Callithrix jacchus: one gene and its partner. The protein of the gene in region 1 interacts with the protein of each later gene in a pairwise test. Links are inferred from orthologs where the notes say so. Each region holds a gene or a part of one and is shown in the gene's direction. Other genes may lie near its edges.

Region 1 (9,568 bases):
GTCAGGGCGCGCGTCCCGGAGTTGGGTCGCGCACTGGGTGTCCTCCCGCCTCGGGTGGGGACTGGATCCTGAATGAATATTGGCCCCCTCCCCGCCTCCGGAGTGGGGTGCATGGGACGGGGCCTCACCCACCGGCCAGATTGGGGATCCCGGGCACCGGGCGGTGTCGGACCCCCCTTCGGGAGCCCCGTGGCCGGCGGCATCCGAGCGCATGACTAGTTGGTGAGTAACTTTCCCCAAACGCTGCAAGTCGCAGCAGGAGCGGCCGGACCGGAAGGGCCTGGGTTCCGGGGACCCCTGCGTCCCCCAACTCCCACCTGGCGCAGGACCTACCTCCGGTCCAGGCCAGAGCTCCCGCCCCACCCCCACTCAGGGGCTCCAGTTTCAGACCCTGTGACCGGCGCAGCAGCTGCCCAGGACAGGATGGGGGGGCATACCCCCTTTGACCATAGAGGCTGCTGGGCTGGGGCCTCCCCGCCTATCTTCCCCCTCCCCCAAATCCTTCCTTGGTCCCCTGCACATCCGGGTGGCTGGATGGACCAATGGGGAGGTTGGGGAGCCCTGTTCTCCCAGTGGTGGCATTGGGATTGGCATTCTGCTCTGCTCCCTGTGATGGGCACTGGGATTGGCTGTTTGGCTACATCTTGTCTTTTTAACTTGGCTGGGGGCTGCCTGGGGATTTGGAGTCTGGGCTGCCAGGTGTGCCTCTAGCCTAGGGTGGGAGCTGGGGGGGTCCCTCTGCAGGGCGCAGTGGGGAACTGGTCTCCCAGTACTACACACCTCTCAATGCCCCATTTTTGATGGAGAACCTCTCTCTGGCCGGTCATGGGTGAATGGAAAGAACTCAGCAGATATGTGGCCTTCACAGCTCAGCCCAGGATGGAGGGGGCTTCACGGGGCGAGGTGGGGGGTGCCGTAACTAGGACGATGAGAGATTTACATCTGAATGTCAACAGCAGCCACCTGGCTCCTCTCAGAGGGCCATCTCCTGTACAGGGTGTGGTGAGGGCTTCCCCCAGACAAAGAAAGATGGGGTCCACTTGCTCTGAGTGATCTATAATGATAATCTGGCCTTTTCATTTCTTTCTATCATTTCTTTGTTTTGTGGAGACAGGGTCTTGCTCTCTTGCCCAGGCTGGAGTGCAGTGGTGCTATCATGGCTCACTGCACTGCGGCCTTGACCTCCTGGGCTCAAGCGATCCTCCCACCTCAGCCTCCCCAGTAGCTGGGACCACAGGCACATGCCACCACACCTGGCTAATTGTTTAAATTTTGGGTAGGGGTGGGGTCTCACCATGATGCTCAGGCTGGTCTCGAACTCCTGGGCTCAAATGATCCTCCTGACTCAGCCTCCCAAAGCACACCCAGTGCTTTGGGCCTCTCTTGCCTTTTTGATGGAAAGTTCTGTGATAATGGGTCCTGAGCTGGAACCTGCTTGGCTTCCCTCAACCTGGCCTGAGGGACACTCATAGTCCCTCCTCTCTCCCTAGGGGCCAAACCAGCGGCTCCTGCCACCTCTCTGGCTGCCCCCTAGAGCCTGCCCAGCCCCGCCTGACCAATGTCCACAGCCAGGTGAGCTCCCACCTCCCCAGCCTGGACCTGAGCTTTCTAAGGGGGCATGTCCGGCCCCTACTGATCACCCTCTCCCCACACAGGGAGCAGCCAATCTTCAGTACACGGGCGCACGTGTTCCAAATTGACCCGGCCACCAAGCGAAACTGGATCCCGGCGGGCAAGCATGCACTCACGGTCTCCTATTTCTACGATGCCACCCGAAATGTCTACCGCATCATCAGCATTGGGGGCGCCAAGGTCCGGGTGGGGTCTAGGTGGGGCAGAGGCACCAGGGGTCCTGGTGACACGCGTGGGTCTGGTGGCTGGCTTGCTGTGTGCCCAAGGGATGGGAAACTCTGAGCCTTCCGGGGCCCTAGTCTGTCCCCTGAAATGGCTCAGAGTAAAGACTTTCCAGAGGCTAATACAAGGTGATACCTGGGGGTTTCATGTCTCGTACTATCCGTCCCATCAACCTTGAACTTTGTCCCCCAACCCCAGGCAATCATCAACAGCACTGTCACTCCAAACATGACCTTTACCAAAACCTCTCAGAAGTTTGGGCAGTGGGCGGACAGTCGCGCCAACACTGTTTACGGCCTCGGCTTTGCCTCCGAACAGCATCTGACACAGGTGGGCCGGGTGAGGGGGAGGGGGAGGGAGGGGATGAGGCTGAGCCCAGTTCTCCTGGGCAGGCTCTGGGACCTCGAGCAGGTCCTCTATCTTCCCATCTGCAGGATGGGCATGTGGGATGAGATGAGCTGAAAGCCCCTTTAAGGTTCACTGGTTTGAGTCCTAGTTCATTTTTTTGTTTTTTTTTTTTTGAGACGGGCTGGAGTGATCTCAGCTCACTGCAACCTCTACCTCTCCGGCTCGAGCGATTCTCCTGCCTCAGCCTCCCGAGTAGCTGGTGCCCACCACCACGCCAGTCTAATTTTTTGTATTTTTAGTAGAGGTGGGGTTTTGTCATGTTAGCCAGGCTGGTCCTGAACTCATGACTTCAAATGATCTGCCCACCTCCGCCTACAAAGTGCTGGGATTACAGATGTGAGCCACGGCCCTCCTCTAGCTCTAATTTTGGATATACCCTGATCCTCTATGGGCCATCAAGTGGGTGGCTGGGCTGGACACTTCCCCACATGCCCCAGTGATATTTTCATCGTCACCTCCCTCTGCCCTGTGCCCTCTCTATACTTCCATTATGATCTTTATCTATGCTTTTGTTGATGATGAGTGCTTTCATGAAGATTTTCTTCTTCTTCTTTTTTTTTTTTTTTTTTTTGAGATAAAGTCTCACTCTGTCCCCTAGGTTGGAGTGCAGTGACATGATCTCGGCTCACTGCAACCTCTGCCTCCTGGGTTCAAGTGATTCTCCCACCTCAGTCTCCAGAGTAGCTGGGATTACAGGCGCCTGCCACCTTGCCTGGCTAATATTTGTGTTTTTAGTAGAGACAGGGTTTTACCATGTTGGCTAGGATGGTCTTGAACTCCTGACCTCAGGTGGTCCACCTGCCTCAGCCTCCCAAAGTGCTGGGATTACAGGCATGAGCCACCACGCCTGGCCTTTTTTGTTTTCTTCTAGAAGTTTAAGAATTTTCCTTCCTTTCTTTTTTTTTTGATGAAGTTTCACTCTTGTTGCCCAGGCTGGAGTGCAGTGGCGTGATCTCGGCTCACTGCAACCTCCTCCTCCTGGGTTCAAGCAATTATGCTGCCTCAGTCTCCATAGTAGCTGGGATTACAGGTGAATGCCACCCCACCCAGAAAATTGTTATATTTTAAGTAGAAATGGGGTTTCACCATGTTCAAACTGTTTACCTCAGGTGATCCGCCCCACTCGGCCTCCCAAAGTGCTGGAATTATAGGCATGAGCCACCGTACCCAGCCTAAAAAATTATTTTTTAACTAAGAAAATTTATTTTAAAACTAGGGGGATGGGATGGGGGGAAACATATTCTATCCTAACTGGGAAATTTATCGCTCGTCATAAATAGGTAGTAAATATACACATTTAATACAACAAAAACAAGAATGGGATGATTTCTTTCTCATTGACTTTCCATGTCTCCTAGAGCCTGAGACCTAATCTCTTTGTTATAAAGGAATACTAACAGGTGTTAAAGACAGAATAGCACCCACCTGAGGCTCTCTTTGTTGAAATAGGCTTTATAAAGAAAAGGGGCCAGATGTGGTGGCTCATTACCTGTAATCCCCACACTTCCTGGGAGGCCAAGGTCAAAGGATCACGTGAGCTCAAAATTTCAAGACCAGCGACCCCATCTCCAAAAATATATATATATAAAAATATAAAAGGTCAGGTGTGGTGGCTCATGTCTGTAATCCCAGCACTTTGGGATGCCAAGGCAGGCGGATCACGAGGTCAGGAGTTTGAGACTAGCCTGGCCAATATGTGAGACCCTTGTCTCTAGAAAAAATACAAAAATTAGCTGAGTATGGTGGCACATGCCTGTAGTCCCAGCTATTCAGGAGGCTAAGGCAGAAGAATCGTTTGAACTTGGGAGACAGAGGTTGCAGTGAGCCAAGATTGCGCCACTACACTCTGGCCTGGGTGACAGAGTGAGACTCCGTCTCAAAAAAAAGAAAACAATGGCAGGCACAGTGGCTCATGCCTGTAATTCCAGCACTTTGGGAGGCCAAGGTGTATGGATCATGAGGTCAAGAGTTTGAGACCAGCCTGGCCAAGATGGTGAAACCCCACTTCTACTAAAAATATAAAAATTAGCCGGGCATTATGGTGTGCGCCTATAGTCCCAGGTACTCTGGAGCCTGAGACAGAAGAATCGCTTGAACCCTGGAGGCAGAGGTTGCAGTAAGCTGAGATTGTGCCACTGCACTCCAGCCTAGGTGACAGAGCGAGATTCCATCTCAAAAAAAAAAAGGAGGAAAAGGGCCATTCTGGGCAACATGGCTAGATCCTGTCTCTACAAAAAGTTCACAAAATTAGCCAGGCATGATGGTACACACCTGGAGTCCCAGCTACTTGGTGGAGGGGTTAGGTGGAAGGGTCACTTGAGCCAGGGAGGTCAAGGTTGCAGTGAGCCAAGATCACGCCACTGCATTCCAGCCTGGGTGACTAATTGAGACCCTTTCCTAAAAAGAAAAAGAGGAGGCCGGGCGCAGTGGCTCACACCTATAATCCCAGCACTTTGGGAGGCCAAGTCAGGTGGATCACAAGGTCAAGAGATCGAGACCATCCTGGCCAACAAGGTGAAACCCTGTCTCTACTAAAAATACAAAAATTAGCTGGGCATGGTGGCGCGTGCCTGTAGTCCCAGCTACTCGGGAGGCTGAGGCGGGAGAATTGCTTGAACCCAGGAGGCGGAGGTTGCGGTGAGCCGAGATTGCGCCATTGCACTCCAGCCTGGGTAACAAGAGCGAAACTCCATCTCAAAAAAAAAGAAGAAAAGAAAAGAAAAAGAGGAAAAGGGAATTCCTTTCCCTTTCTCAATGTGGCCCAATGTATTAAAATGCCACCTTCGTGATCTGATGCCACCTGCCCACCCACCATGGTACATCATTTTTCAGACCTTCTCTCCTTCTTCCACAGTGTGTGATGAGAGAATGGGTACAGTTCCAAAGTGACAGGGCTGTCGCTGGGTGGCGGTTACCTGGTTTGTGGGGATGGGCTGGGGGTTGACTGTCTGTTCCTCCCCACTCCCCTAGTTTGCCGAGAAGTTTCAGGAAGTGAAGGAAGCAGCCAGGCTGGCCAGGGAGAAATCTCAGGATGGCGGGGAGCTCACCAGTCCAGCCCTGGGGCTCGCCTCCCACCAGGTCAGCACTCCCTGCCCCCCTATGCTTCCTGGGCACCTGTGAGTCAACCAGGCCCAGGATTGGGGGGACCTTGATATTAGGAGACCAGGCACTGTGCTAGTCCTCAAGACCCAATGCTCCCAGATGACCTAAAGTTAGACCCATGGCAGGGGCCATGGAGGAGGGGTGTGGAGCATGTCATGGAGGGTCTGGGCCTTGCCTGGGGTCGGCAGGGGGCACCCAGTAGGTCCCAGTAGCAAAACCAGCTCAGATGGCAGAATGGAAGACTAGAAATTGAAATAGCTAAGTGTGGCCAGGCGCAGTGGCTTATGCCTATAATCCCAGCAATTTTGGAGGCCAAGGTGGGAGGATCGCTTGAGTCCAGGAGTTTGAGACCAGCCTGGCCAACATGGTGAAACCCCATCTCTACTAACAAATACAAAAATTAGCCAGGCGTGTCGGCGTGCACCTGTAATCCCAGCTACTTGGGAGGCTGAGGCAGGAGAATTGCTTGAACCCAGGAAGTGGAGGTTGCAGTCAGCCCAGATCATGCCACTGTACTCCAGCCTGGTGACACAGTGTGACAGAAAGAAATGGCTAAGTGTGAGGCACAGCAATGAACTGGCCCTGTGTGTTTTCCCACATTAATTTATTCAGCATCATTTATTGAGCGCCTGCTGTGTACCAGGCCCAGGGCTGTGCACAGGGGTTGCAGAGATTTAGAAAAACAGGCTGAACTCTACCCTCAGAGCCAGCGGTCCAGGCTTTGGGGTGGCTCATGAAACACAAATTCAGCCTGGGCAGGGCTTCCTGCTGAAATCCTAAACGGGCCACAGGGAACAGAACAGGGAAGGGAACAGCATGGAGCTGTCCGATTGTCCCTCTCCCCTACCTTGGAGGTTCTAAGTATCTTGGTTTAGACTAACCTGCATCAGACTTGCTCCTAGGGGTGGTGAAACCCCAGGAAGGCAAGGCTGAGGGCATGGGCCTGGAACTCTCAGCCTAGGGGCCACAGGGAGCCATGGAGGGTGGGTGAGATGGGGAGGGACACATTCGGATCCGGTGCTGTGAAGGACCTGCTTAGGGTGCATAGGTCAGTTGGACCCCCTGATGTGACGACCCCGGTCACATCAGCCTTGATCCCAGCCACTGACAGAAGCTACTACTCATCGTGACCTGCTCTTTTCCCCGTGCACAGGTGCCCCCGAGTCCCCTCGTCAGTGCCAACGGCCCGGGTGAGGAGAAACTGTTCCGCAGTCAGAGCGCTGACGCCCCCGGCCCCACAGAGCGCGAGCGACTCAAGAAGATGCTGTCCGAGGGGTGAGGGGCGGGGCTTGGGGCGCGGCAGGGGACGGGGTGGGGATGCGGGACTTGGAGGCGGTTCTCGAAAGCCAAGGGAGTGCCAGGGACTGCGGGATCTAACTGTGGACCCAAGACCTGGGAAAGGGGAGGAGCTGATCCCGCTGCTGCTCCATCCAGAGCCGACCCCGCCCACGGCTTTGGCAGGCCGGTCTGTATTGAACCGGTCCCTGTCTCCTGGCTGATAACCTCGCCCCATCCATGCCTCTCGGGCTTAGGATAAACCTGGGGCGCCTCCCCACCCCGACCACGCCCCCCTTGGCTGACTCTCCTCAACCTCCCAACCCTCCTCTGCCATCCCGACAGTGTTACTGGGCGGACCCCATGTGCCCACTTCTTTGACCAGGTCCCTGACAAGACCCCGCCTCTTCGGGACTGCCCCATCCCCAAGCTTCGCACTATTTTGGCTGCGCTCCTAGCCCAGCCCAGTGTCGCCACGTCCCCAGCACACCGTGGCCCTGAGTCCATCCCCTGGCCCTACGCCACCCCACCCTTGGCCCTGCCCCCTACCCAGCATTGTCCTTGACACCACCCCCAGCCCAATCTCGCGCCTGGCCACGCACCAGCCCACACCACCCACCTCTGGCCCCGCCCCCTAGTGGAGCATCGCCACTGACTCCACCCCCAGGTCAGTGCCACCCCACCCTGGCCCTGCGCCCTAGTTCAACCTCACACCCTCTCCAAGCTTCGTCCTCACCCAAGCCCAGAGCCATCCCAACCCCTGGCCCCGATCCCAACCCCTGGCCCGATCCCAACCCCAGCATTGCCCTCTGACTGCCCCCGCTCTAGCCCCATGTCACCCCCTGCCGACCCTTGCGTTTCTGCAGCTCCGTGGGCGAGGTACAGTGGGAGGCCGAGTTCTTCGCGCTGCAGGACAGCAACAACAAGCTGGCAGGCGCCCTGCGGGAGGCCAACGCAGCCGCAGCCCAGTGGAGGCAGCAGCTGGAGGCTCAGCGTGCAGAGGCTGAGCGGCTGCGGCAGCGGGTAAGGGCACCCCCTCCCAAAGAGAGCCCCCCACCTGACCCGGGCAACTGTGGAGCCCACGCCTCTGCCAGTCCCATCTGCCCTGGGTGCATGGACTGGCCGGGTGACCTCAGCAGGTCACTGTCCCAGCCCCAGTTCCTTGCTCTGTAAAATGCGTGTGAGACAATGCCAACTTCAGAGGGTGATCAGACCCTAAAGTCCAAGCTACGTGAGTGGGGGAGGTGCCACCAACCAAGGGAGTTGGGTGCTCGGTCCTGGATGTGGCTGGACAGGAGGCAGAGTCCCTAGAGGTTGGGGGAGCAAGGGAGAGTGCAGGCAGGGGTGGTAGGGGCTGCTATTCCTGTCCCACAGGTGGCTGAGCTGGAGGCCCAGGCAGCTTCAGAGGTGACCCCAGCCAGTGAGAAGGAGGGGCCGGGCCAGGGCCAGTCACTGGAGCAGCTGGAAGCTCTGGTGCAAACCAAGGACCAGGTGAGCGCCAAGTATGGTTCCCGGGCCTCGTCCTCCCTCACCTCCAGAGGGAAAGCCAGGACCCCCAGAACAGACCCTGGGAACTCTTTTCCTCTAGGAGATCCAGACCCTGAAGAGTCAGACTGGGGGGCCCCGAGAAGCCCCAGAGGCTGCCGAGCGCGAGGAGACTCAGCAGAAGGTGCAGGTGTGTGTGGGCGCCAGGAGGTGGGGTGAAGGTGGGTGACCATCACCTCAACAGACAATTGGGACGATCTACCTAAGATGATAAAGTAGTATTGGGAGTCCCAGGCCCGCGCCAGGCCTGATGGCCGGCAGGCGCTGTGTGAACAGTGGGTTCAGCAGGCAATCTCGAGTCCCGGCTGCATTCCCACGCCAGACCCTGTCATTTCCTCCTGTTCTCAGCCGGAAATCACAGAGCCTGCACTGGAACCAGGTGTGGCTTGGCTTTTTTTGTTTTTTCTTCGAGATGGAGTCTCACTCTGTCGCCCAGGCTGGAGTGCAGTGGCGCAATCTTGGCTCACTGCAACCTCCACCTCCCAGGTTCAAGCGATTCTCCTAACTCAGCCTCCTCAGTAGCTGGGATTACAGGTGTGTGCTACCATGCCTGGCTAATTTTTTGTATTTTTAGTAGAGATGGGGTTTTACCATATCGGCCAGGCTAGTCTCAAACTCCTGACCTTGAGCAATCCACCCTCAGCCTCCCAAAGTGCTGGGATTACAGGAGTGAGCTGCCACGCCCAGCCTTGGCTTGGCTTTTGCTACAGGCTTTATCTGAGAAATGTTCAGGGGATACCTTTTTTTTTTTTTAATTTTGAGACAGGGCCTCACTGTGTTACTGGGGCCAGAGTACAGTGGCGCAATCTCAGCTCACTGCAACCTCCACTTCCTGGGCTCAAGCGATTCTCCTGCCTCAGCCTCCTGAGTAGCTGGGACTACAGGTGCCTGCCACCACATACAGCTAATATTTGTATTTTTAGTAGTGATGGGGTTTTACCATGTTGTTCAGGCTGGTCTTGAACTCCCGGCCTCAGGGGAGCCACCTGCGTCTGCCTCCCAAAGTGCTGGGATTATAGGCATGAGTCACTGTGCCCAGCCCAGGGGGCACTTCTTGTGAGCCCAACAAGTTGAGATGTTACAGGACCTGCTTCCCTTACACCTGTATTCCTAGCTACTTGGGAGGCTGGGGTGGGAGGACTGCTTGAACCTAGGAGTTGGAGGCTACAGTGAGCTAGGATTGTGCCACTGCACTCCAGCTTGGGCAACAGAACAAAACCCTGTCTCTTAGAAATGAGGGCAGAAGCCAGATCCCTGGGGGGGTTGGATTTTATTCCCAGTGTGATTGGTGCCCTAGGAGGGCTTTGGGTAAAAGAGGGACATGAAGCCGTCAGACTCTGGACACCTCGGACAGGCACGGTGACTTGTTGGGGCCCCCACCCCG
Region 2 (10,072 bases), on another chromosome or scaffold:
GGCTGCTAGTCATGAGTAACCAGCAAAGGTTGGTGAGCATCCAACTAATATGTCTAGGTCTTTGGTTTGTTTTGAAGAAGAGGAAGTCAGATACCTCTGGCAACAAGATAATAGATGAGGAAGTAGAATAAGCTTTATTTTTAAAAATTGGATTCAATGGAGACATTTAAGGGATGAAGGAGGTTGGGGGAGACTGTACTGGATACTATGGGGAAAATTCCATGAGGTTTTGTTTTGTTTCCTTTCGTGTTTTGGAAACAGCAAAGTCCCGTTTGTACTGATTACCTTTGAAGTGCTTCTGTGGCAAACAGGACTCTTACTCCAAACTCACCACTGCCACCCTGTGGAACCATGGCAAAAAACAGAACAAGGTTGAAAGACTACTTAAGCGAGGATCATCTACTTTCAGCTACTTCATCCACGGACTTCTTTTATTACCTACTCTCCCCTACAGATTGAATCTGATTTACAAAACACAAAAATATCATTTATTTAACATTTGTTTTCCATTTTAATAATCAGATACAAAAATAAATGCCAGTCAGAGCTTCTGACCCATGGTGATCCACCAGTATTTGTATTTTAAGTTGACTCCACTCTAAGCAAAAGCAAAGATGCATGAGGTCTTAGTCTAGAGGCTTTATCAAAATAAATGTACGATATGTTAATTATTTTTCTTTGTTTGTTTTTGAAAATTGTTTGCAAAGCCACAACACTACCTGTAAACTGATCCAGGTTCAGGGGCCTGTGGGGCCATTGATCTCCAGTGGTTTTCAGGGTAACTGTGCTCCCCAGGAGACATTTGGCAATGTCTGGAGATACCTCTGCTTGTCAAACCTGGGTGGGGTTGGGGCTACTGGCATTTAATAGGTAGAGGCCAGGGGTGCTACTAAGCAACCTACTATGCACAGGACAAGTCGCATAATAAGAATTATTTGTGGCTGGGCACGGTCACTCATGTCTGTAATCCCAGCACTTTGAGAAGCTGAGGCAAGCAGATTGCTTGAGCTCAGGAGTTGACCAGCCTGAGCAGCATAGCGAAAACCTGTCTCTACCCAAAATAGAAACAATTAGCTGGGCATGGTCGTAAACACCTGTGGTTCCAGCCACTTCAGGGGCAGAGATGGGAGGATCACTTGAGCCCAGGAGGTGAAGGTTGCAGTCAGCTGAGATGGAACCATTGCTTTCTAGCCTAGCTGAGAGAGTGAGACCCCCATCTCAAAAAAAAAACAAAAACAAAAACAGAAAAGACAAAAAGAAAAAGAAAGAAAAAAGGATTATTTGGCCCAAAATATCAATAATTTCGAGGTTGACAACTGCAATCTAGCCCAATCTCTACAGTGTATAAAGGAAGAAAGTAAGATCCAAAACAGTTAAATGACTTTTATTTTAAAAACTGTTTAAGTTTTAATTAGGCAATACATTCAAAGGTTCCAAAACTACATCATTAAAAGCGTATATAGGACTTGAACAGACATTTCTGCAAAGAAGATATAGAAATGGCCAACGAGCAAATAAAAAGATTCTCAATATCATTAGTCATTAGAAAAATGCAAATCAAAACCATGAGATACTGCTTTCTAACCACTACCATGGCTATAATTAAAACAATAGCAAAAATGGAAAATAACAATCGTTGGTGAGAATGTGGAAAAACTGGAACCTCCATACATTGCTGATGGGAATATAAAATGGTGCAGCTGCTGTGGAAAAGTTTTGCAGTTCCTCAAAAAAAGTTTAATGTGAAATTATGATGTGACCCAGCAGTTCCACACTCTGAGGTATATACAAAAGAAATTGAAAACAGGCACTTACATACTTGTACACAAATGTTTCTAGCAGCAAAATTCACAGTAGCCAAAATGTGGAAACAACTCAAATCCTGAGCTCAGGAGTTCAAGGTCAGCCTGGGCAAAGTGGTAAGACCCATGGCTACTTAAAAAAAAATAGCAAAAAATTAGCTGAATGTGATGGTGCATGCCTACAGTCCCAGCTACTAGGGAGGGTGAGACACGAGAATTGCTTGAATCTGGGAGATGGAGGTTGCGGTGAGCTGAGATCGCACCACTTAACTCCAGCCTGGGTGACAGAGAGAGACTCCATCTTCAAAAAAAGCAAACAAACAAAAAAACAAACTATATATAGATCTCTTGTAAAAAAACAAAAGTGCATATATTACAATAAAAGTTAATGGTTGTTTTCTTTGGTGCAATTACTAGTGATTTTAGGTTTATTGTTTATAATTTTCTATATTTTCTAAAATTTCATATATTTATAATTAGAAAAATATCAATGACTTATGCCCACTTAATTTTAATAAGGTATTTAAGATTAAAATTTAATATGGGCCAAGTATGGTGGTTCACACCTGTAATCCCAGCACTTTGGGAGGCCAAGGTGGGTGCACCACTGGAGCCCAGGAGTTTGACACCAGCCTGGACAACATAGCGAGACCCATCTCTACAAACAAAATTTTTTTAATTAGCTGCGCGTGGTGGCACATGCCTGTGGTCCCAGCTATTTGGGAGGCTGAGGTGGGAGGATTTCTTGAGCCCAAGAGGTCAAGACTGCAGTGAGCTAAGATCACACCTCTGCACTCCAGCCTGGGTGACAAGTGGGACCCTGTCTCAAAAAAAAAAAAAAAAAAAAATTAACATGAAAAGAAAAACCAACCTTAAATACACTATCTTTACATAGTGTGTTTATTGTAGTATTTTGTTTTACTTCACCGAGAAAACAGCTAAAGATAAAGGTTAGGCTTCTGAAGTACATATTGAGTCTTTGAAAGGTAGCTTAATGAAGTAGAAAAAGCAGTTTTGAAACCCAGGTATGTGGCCCTGAGCAAGTTAGGAGGCAGAAGAATAGGGGCTGGAGGCAGGGAACCTAAGGCCCATTCCTGCTGACTGGGTATCAGACCTACTCCCATTTCAATCCCCCTTTTTTCTGCCTGGCAGTTGAAAAAATGAAAGTACCTCTTATTGGTCTCCTCCCACAACCAGTCAGACTGGTCGTGGGCCTAACTCTTCATTCTGATTGGTCCCCTCCTGCAACCAATCAGACTGGTTGTAGGCCAGTGGGAACATTTTAGAGGGTATTTAAACCCCAGAAAATTCTGTAACCAATGCTCCTGAGCAGCTTGCACTAGGCAGTGTTCACCTCCCCCCCGGAGTGTACTTTTATTTAAAATAAATCTTTGCTTTCGCTGCCTTGCTTTGTTTGTGCATTTTGTTCAAAACGCCAAGAACCCAGACAGCTACCCTCAACCAGTAGCAGTTACCTGCTGGGCCTGCTTCCTCATCTCTAAAACAGGGCTGTCACCCCGAATCAGACGGTGTGGTAAGATTTCCACAATTGTTAAAAGAGCCTGACACATAGTAGGAACCCAAAGTCTATACAAAGACTTAACATTCATGAAACAATAGGCAAACTAAAGGAGAAATCCACTGAAGTTTAGGGTGAATACCTTCTGATAACCTGTTTGGTAAAAACTACACTGAAAATCACTGTCTTGTCAGTGTTCAACATTTATGTGAATAATAATATTTAACGTCTACTGAGCCTTTACAAGGCCAAGCCCCAGCCAGGCTGAGATGGTTCCGTTTTTGAAGCTGCATTCCTGCCCAGGAAACAATGGCCCTCAGTGGTTCAGACACTGCTTAAAACCGGCGATAGAGGCAAGTTCGAATGCAGTCCCTCTCCAAAGTCTTACCCACTGCTCCACAATGCCTCAATACCAAACATTTCACACTCAATTCCAAATCCATCTCTTCAGGGCTGCAAAAAAGCCTCACTTCCCAAAGGGCGAGTTCTCCAAACACTGCATTTAGCATTTCGGATCCGGGTGAGTTGAACTCACTAGGATTACGAGAAAAACTAGTGAAATTCAGATACGACCATTAACATCGAAAGTTTTAATCCGTGAAATACTGCTTACGCCCTTAAGTAATTTCAAATGCACATAAGATGGCCATGCGGGTCTCTGCTGGAGATGCAAAAGAAAGGTGAGCAAACTTAATCAATTATGGCTTTCAGATTTTAGTTAATGGAGGAAATAGCAAGTTTCCACTTGTCATAATTACAGGCATCACTATCATTCTATCATTATTCTAGCACTAATGAAAGACCTCAAGAACATATAAAGCAGCAGTAAAGGGTGCTAAGAAATGACAGTGTGGTCACGTCAACTTGCCCCATGTTACATCCAGGGTGTCAGGGTTCAAACCAGGTCTGTCTGGCTCTAGAACAATTGTTCTCTGCTACCTCCAAATCCTGTGTATATGTTTTCACTAAACTATTTTGTTGTTTATAGATCTGAATTGGAAGCTGTTGAGTACCCTGAACTTAGCAACTAACTGATATAAAGGTATCCCTTATAGAAATCTCAAACTAATTCTTCATTCCTTTCAGGAAGAAGAGTCTTAAGAATATGCATTATAAAACATGTTTCAATAAAGTTATTGAAAAAGAAAAAGAAAGGTGGGAAGTTGGCGGGGGGGCATAACACTGTATACTAGACGCAACCTGACATCGTTTGAAAGAAATTCTGTCCCCTACTCCCTTCGGTGAGATTCGCCGTCCCTAATCTAGTCTGGCTACCCCACACTCCCGATTCCTTTAAAAGGGGTTGAAATGGATGTTGCATTAAAGAAAACCCTCCTGCAGAAAGGACCTGAGGCAGAGACTCCCCTGAATTCTGGAACATGTTGGAAGAGTGAGAAAGGAACTCTGGGACTCCGAACTTATTCTCACGGGTGTAAAAGGACAGAGTAAATCCCCATTAGCCAAGCTGGGGAGAAGTCACATCCGCACATTCTAAAGGGCACACAGCCTCTCCCGGACCGTCCCTAGAAGAGGGGCAGCACATTTAGAAACACTGGCGGGCCTCTAGTCCTTGGCTGCCTCGCGGCGACCCTCAGAGCGGGTTTCCCAAGGCTCAAGCTCCTCTGGCAAGGCGCAAATCGACACCACTGCTGGTTGCTAGGAGATACTGCCCCGCCACCTCCTCCAATCAGCACGCATCTCTTTGCGTCCAATCACAAAGGCCAGAAGGGCCGTGGTGGGAGGTGAAAGGTCATACTCTTGTTTGGCGGCCATTTCTCTTGAAGCTCGGCGGTTCGGGACTTCGGGATCGGCTGGAGTCACGAGGGACGAGCGGCGGCCTGGTTGGCAGCGAATAGCCTGCAGCATTCGCCCGTGGTTACGATGGTAAGGAGAAAGAGAACCGGGGGAGAAGCGGGGAGAAAGAGGAGGGAAACCAGTCTCGCGGGGCCTGATGGTTGCTTCGCGCGTTTCTCATTCATCCGCGTGAGGCGCCGCGCACCCGGTCGCCAGCTCCTTTCACGCTGCCCTTGGGGTTTCTGAGGCGCGTGCTCCTCCCGTTGCCTTTCTGTTTCTAGGAGTGCCCGTGCTGTCTCCTCTTTGTTTGAATCCGAGCCTGGGGTATTTTTGGTTGGGGCTTCAGGGTCGGCGTAAAACTGAAAGAGAGTGCACTTCTCACTTCTCTCCAAAATTCACTTTAATTCCTTGAAAGTAATATTACAGCCATGCTCTAGATTAACTCAGTCGGGTGGGGAAGACAGACCTTAGTCAAAAACCAACAAATATGCAATTGCAAATAACAAGTGCTAAGAAGCATGTAGACCGGAGGCTGTGAGGGTGCACGTTAGACATTACAGGCTTAGTCAGAGATGGCCTCCCTAGGAGGTGGAATTTAACCAGAGACCTAAGTGTCCTGAAATACCACCCTTTAAAGAGCAGGAGGAGTGTACCGAGCACAGGGAATAGGAGCGTAAGACCTGCAGCCGGAAAGAAAGCTTGGTCAGTTGGAGAAATTGACAGAAAGGTACAGCCACTTGCAAGAATGGTGGCTTCTAATTCAATTAGAAGCCATTGAATCATTTTAAGCAGACATATGACATAATTTTATGTGCACTTTGAAAAATAACAGTTGCCGTGGTGGATAATAAATTGGAGAATGTAAACTGGAGATCCATTAGGTTATTGGAGTAGCACCATGCCAAGATCACTCCCAATATGCTTATCTTAGTTTAGTAGCCAAGTTTCTTAGTTCTGTTTTTTCTTTGACTGGTGAGTGAGCAGATTAGGGCCCAAAAAAGTCTGAATTCACTGGAGATGCTAATGGTTTGTTGAATAAACAAACATTAAGTGATTGCTGTAAAGTCAGATAGGACCTAGCCCTACCTTCCACAGTTAAAGACTGTCAAGTGTGATCTGCCCTCTGCTTCCTTCTGCAGTCTTATATTAGGGGCTTTGACTGACAATGCTGAATTCTTTGTATATCCCCAAAATCATGTTGTTCTCTTCCCTCCTTTTACTTAAGTTGCTACCCTTGCCTGGAGCAGCATCTGCCCCCCCCCCGGAAATAAACTCTTATCCTTTAAAACTGAGATATTACTTAAGGCAACCTTTCCTTTTCTGTGGATTGCTGTGGTACCCTTGTGCCTAGCATATCTCCTCTTACTACATTGCAGTATGCAATATAATTATTTGTATGTGAGGAGCTCCCCTCCCTATCTCCAGCTTCTTGACAGGGACTGTTACTTGTTTATTTATTTTTAAGAGACAAAGTGTTGCTCTTGCCCAGGCTGGAGTGCAGTGGCTTGATCATAGCTCACTGCAGCCTTGAACTCCTGGGTTCAAGCAGTTCCCCCACCTTATCCTCCCTAGTAGCTGGGACTACAAGTGTGTACCATCACACCTAATTATTTTTGGTAGGAATTGGGGGGGGTCTCCCTATGTTGCCTGGGTTGGTCTTGAACTCCTGGCTTCAGGTGATTTCCGTGCCTTGGCCTTCCAGAGTGCTGGAATTACAGACACGTGCCTGGCCAGCATTTTTTTTTTTTTAGTGGCTTTATCTTTGCTTCTTTCAAGCTCAGAACAGTGAGTGATGTAGGTAGTCAGTGTTATCTTAAGTGAATAGTGAGTATTTTGTTTTGATGGGTTAAAGGTGAAACTGGCTAACTGGATATTTAAATTTCCCTGGTACTCATCTTCAACAAATAAAAGTGAAAATTATGTTTTCTTCATTTGCACACCAGAAAATATTGGTGATTTGGTAGAAGGGATTTGGTGGTGGGAGGAAAAGAATTAATTGGATCCTTTTTTGTTCTTTGTGCAGAGTTTACCCCTTAATCCCAAACCTTTCCTCAATGGACTAACAGGAAAGCCAGTGATGGTGAAACTTAAGTGGGGGATGGAGTACAAGGGCTACCTGGTATCTGTAGATGGCTACATGAACATGCAGGTAAGCTGTAAAGGTTATAACATGGCATTGATTTTGCTTCACCTTATTCCTCAAAGGTTTAGTCTGACTAATAAGAATACATACAATTAAGTTGACAAATATATGGCAAAATTCAAAAATAAAGTCAAGGCCAGAGAGGATACCGTGATGTACTAGGTACAAGACATGGGCTTAAACCGGAATTCAGCCACAGATTTTATTCCTAGGAGTTAAAGTAAGAAGAGCTCAGACGTTCAATTCATAATAATACCATAAGGGAAACACGCTACTTTGCTGGAGAAAACAAAACTTTTACCATCATTTAGCCCTGAAAGAAAGTTTTCAAGTGAAATTTTTGAGTCTTTTAATGAATGCTAAAGGTACAACACCAAGCTATTAAAGAAATTCATTCCTTCAAGGGAAAGACAGATCTGCCAAAGGAATTGAACTGACTGTATGTCAGTTTCTGTAAATGATTTAGCCATGTGTTTTGGTAGGGTTTTTTGTAATTTTCTTTTTATTGTGGTCAAACATACATTAAAATTTTACCATTCTAACCATTTTTAAATGTGTAATTCAGTGGCATTAAGTATCTTCACACTGTTCTGCAACCATCACCACTATCCATTTCCAGAACTTTTTTTATCATCCCAAAGTGAAATTCTTTGCCCATTAAACAATAATTTTCCATTCCTTTCTCTACCTAACTAACCCCTGGTAACCACTATTCTACGTGTCTATGAACTGTGCATAATACCTCATATAAGTGGAATCGTATATTTATCCTTTTGTGTCTGGCTTGTTTTACTTAGCGTAGTGTTTTATTCAAGGTTCATCCATGTTGTAGCATGTGTCAGAATTCCATTCCTTTTTTAATTGAATAATATTTCATTATATGGATATACCACCTTCTGTTCCATTTGCCTCTTGGTGGATGCTGGGTTGCTTCCCTCTTTGGACTGTAGTAAATAATGCTGCTGTGAAGACGATTGTACAAATATCTGTTCAAGTCTTGTTTTCAGCTCTTTGGGGTATATACCCAGAAGTGGAATTACTGGATTACTGGTAATTCTATGTTTAATTTTTTAAGGAGGCCAAGCATGGTGGCTCATGCGTATAATTCCAGCACTTGGGGAGGCTGAGGCGGTGTACTGCTTGAGCCCAGGAGTTTGAAATCAACCTGTGCAACATAGTGAAACTACATCTCTCCAAAAAAATACAAAAATTAGCTAGGCATGGTGGTGTGGTCACCTGTATTCCTAGCTACTCAGGAGGCTGAGGTGGGAGGATCACCTGAGCCTGGGGAGGCTGAAGCTGTAGTGAGCCATGATCACACCACTGCACTCTAGCCTGGATGGCAGAATAAGACCCTGTCTCAAAAAAACTTTTTTTTTCTGTCACACTATTTTCCACAGCAGCTACGTGGCTTTTATATACCTACCAGCAATACACAAGGGTTCCAATTTCTCCGCATCCTCACCAACCCTTGTAATTTTCTATGGGTGTTTATAAAATAGTTAACCTAATGGGTGTGAAGTGTATCTTACTGTGGTTTGGATTTGCATTTTCCTAATGACTAATGAAGAGCACCTTTTCGTGTGTTTATTGGCCATTTGTTTATCTTTGGAGAAATGCCTGTTTATGTCTTTTGCACATTTAAAAAATTAGTTGTTTGGGTTTTTTGTTGTTTTTAATAGTAGTAGTTTCCAGGCAGGTTTTTAAAGGCTATCAAGATGGTTGGTCAATCCAGTCATGAACCCTGGGATTCCATACTTGAAAGAAGAGTACTAAAAGGAGTACTTAAGTAGGCAGAGAGCTGTGATTTTCCTGAAGCATTTACCACCTAAGCATAGGACACTAAGGTCCCCAAAGCGTAATTTGGGTTTGGAAAATTCCCTAAAACAGGAATCATTTACCAAGACCATAGAAAAATCTGGGACGTAAATGAATTGTGATGAAAATATTCGGGAATTAGTGGTGATAGTTGCACAGCTTTTTGAATATACTAAAAACCACTGAACTATACACTTTAAAAGAGTGGATTTTATGCTATGGAAATTAACATCTCAATAATAAAAGAATTACCACTTAATATTTGTTTTAGAATCAATATAGCTTGCTAGTGAGCCTGCAAGAGTTACAAAATGTCTGGGTAGCCAACCACTTTGAGTAGTCAACCATATTGATACCAGCATTTGAATTTGTTCACTTAGCAAATATTTATTGATTCCCATTATGTGACTGGCACTGTGAATATAGCATTGAACAAAGCAAAGTCCCTGCCCTCCAGAGTTTATGTTTTAATAGTGGGAGGTGGTAATATAATGTGATAACAGGTGTGATAGATGCCATCCATGAAGAAAAAGGGGGTAGACAGTATGTGCAATATTATATAGGACAATCTCTCTGAGGCAACAAATTCTGGAAGATACCAGAATTAATGTACAACTCAGTTGAGTGTCTGGGGAAAAGCATCGCAGTTTGAGGGAATGGCAAGTACAAAGGCCCTGTGGTGGAAGCATGCTGGGTATGTTCAAGGCATAGCAGGAAGGCCAGAGCAGATTGAGTTAAGGGAAGAATGATAGAAAGTTAGGCTGGAATGGTGGACATAAGAGCCTGTTGAGTGATGGTGAAGACTGAATTTAATACATGATAGAAAGTATTTGGAGCATTATTGTTTAGAAACCAGTTAAATGTTGTAATTACCTTTTACAGAAAATTAATTGCTCTTAATATTATTTCTTATAGCTGTTACATACAAACTAATTGTCTCAATAACCTCATACATTTCAGACAAAACTGTATCATCTGGATAATTAGATAACTTTT

What was found.
Region 2: the proteins of HOMER3 (region 1) and SNRPF interact in binary tests that used the Homo sapiens proteins (3 or more experiments, as listed by UniProt). The two-hybrid records come from large-scale screens. The link is inferred for Callithrix jacchus from reciprocal best matches to the Homo sapiens genes HOMER3 and SNRPF.

What each region holds. Positions count from the first base shown.
Region 1 is NC_133523.1:17,623,364-17,632,931, reverse strand, and holds part of HOMER3 (homer protein homolog 3), read left to right. Parts: 5' UTR 1-222; intron 223-1,490; 5' UTR 1,491-1,558; coding exon 1,559-1,572; intron 1,573-1,655; coding exon 1,656-1,812; intron 1,813-2,052; coding exon 2,053-2,184; intron 2,185-5,232; coding exon 5,233-5,340; intron 5,341-6,517; coding exon 6,518-6,639; intron 6,640-7,505; coding exon 7,506-7,662; intron 7,663-8,013; coding exon 8,014-8,130; intron 8,131-8,227; coding exon 8,228-8,314; intron 8,315-9,568. UniProt on the Homo sapiens protein: Postsynaptic density scaffolding protein. Binds and cross-links cytoplasmic regions of GRM1, GRM5, ITPR1, DNM3, RYR1, RYR2, SHANK1 and SHANK3.
Region 2 is NC_133510.1:98,935,344-98,945,415, forward strand, and holds the start of SNRPF (small nuclear ribonucleoprotein F), read left to right. Parts: upstream 1-5,073; 5' UTR 5,074-5,202; coding exon 5,203-5,205; intron 5,206-7,138; coding exon 7,139-7,264; intron 7,265-10,072. UniProt on the Homo sapiens protein: Plays a role in pre-mRNA splicing as a core component of the spliceosomal U1, U2, U4 and U5 small nuclear ribonucleoproteins (snRNPs), the building blocks of the spliceosome.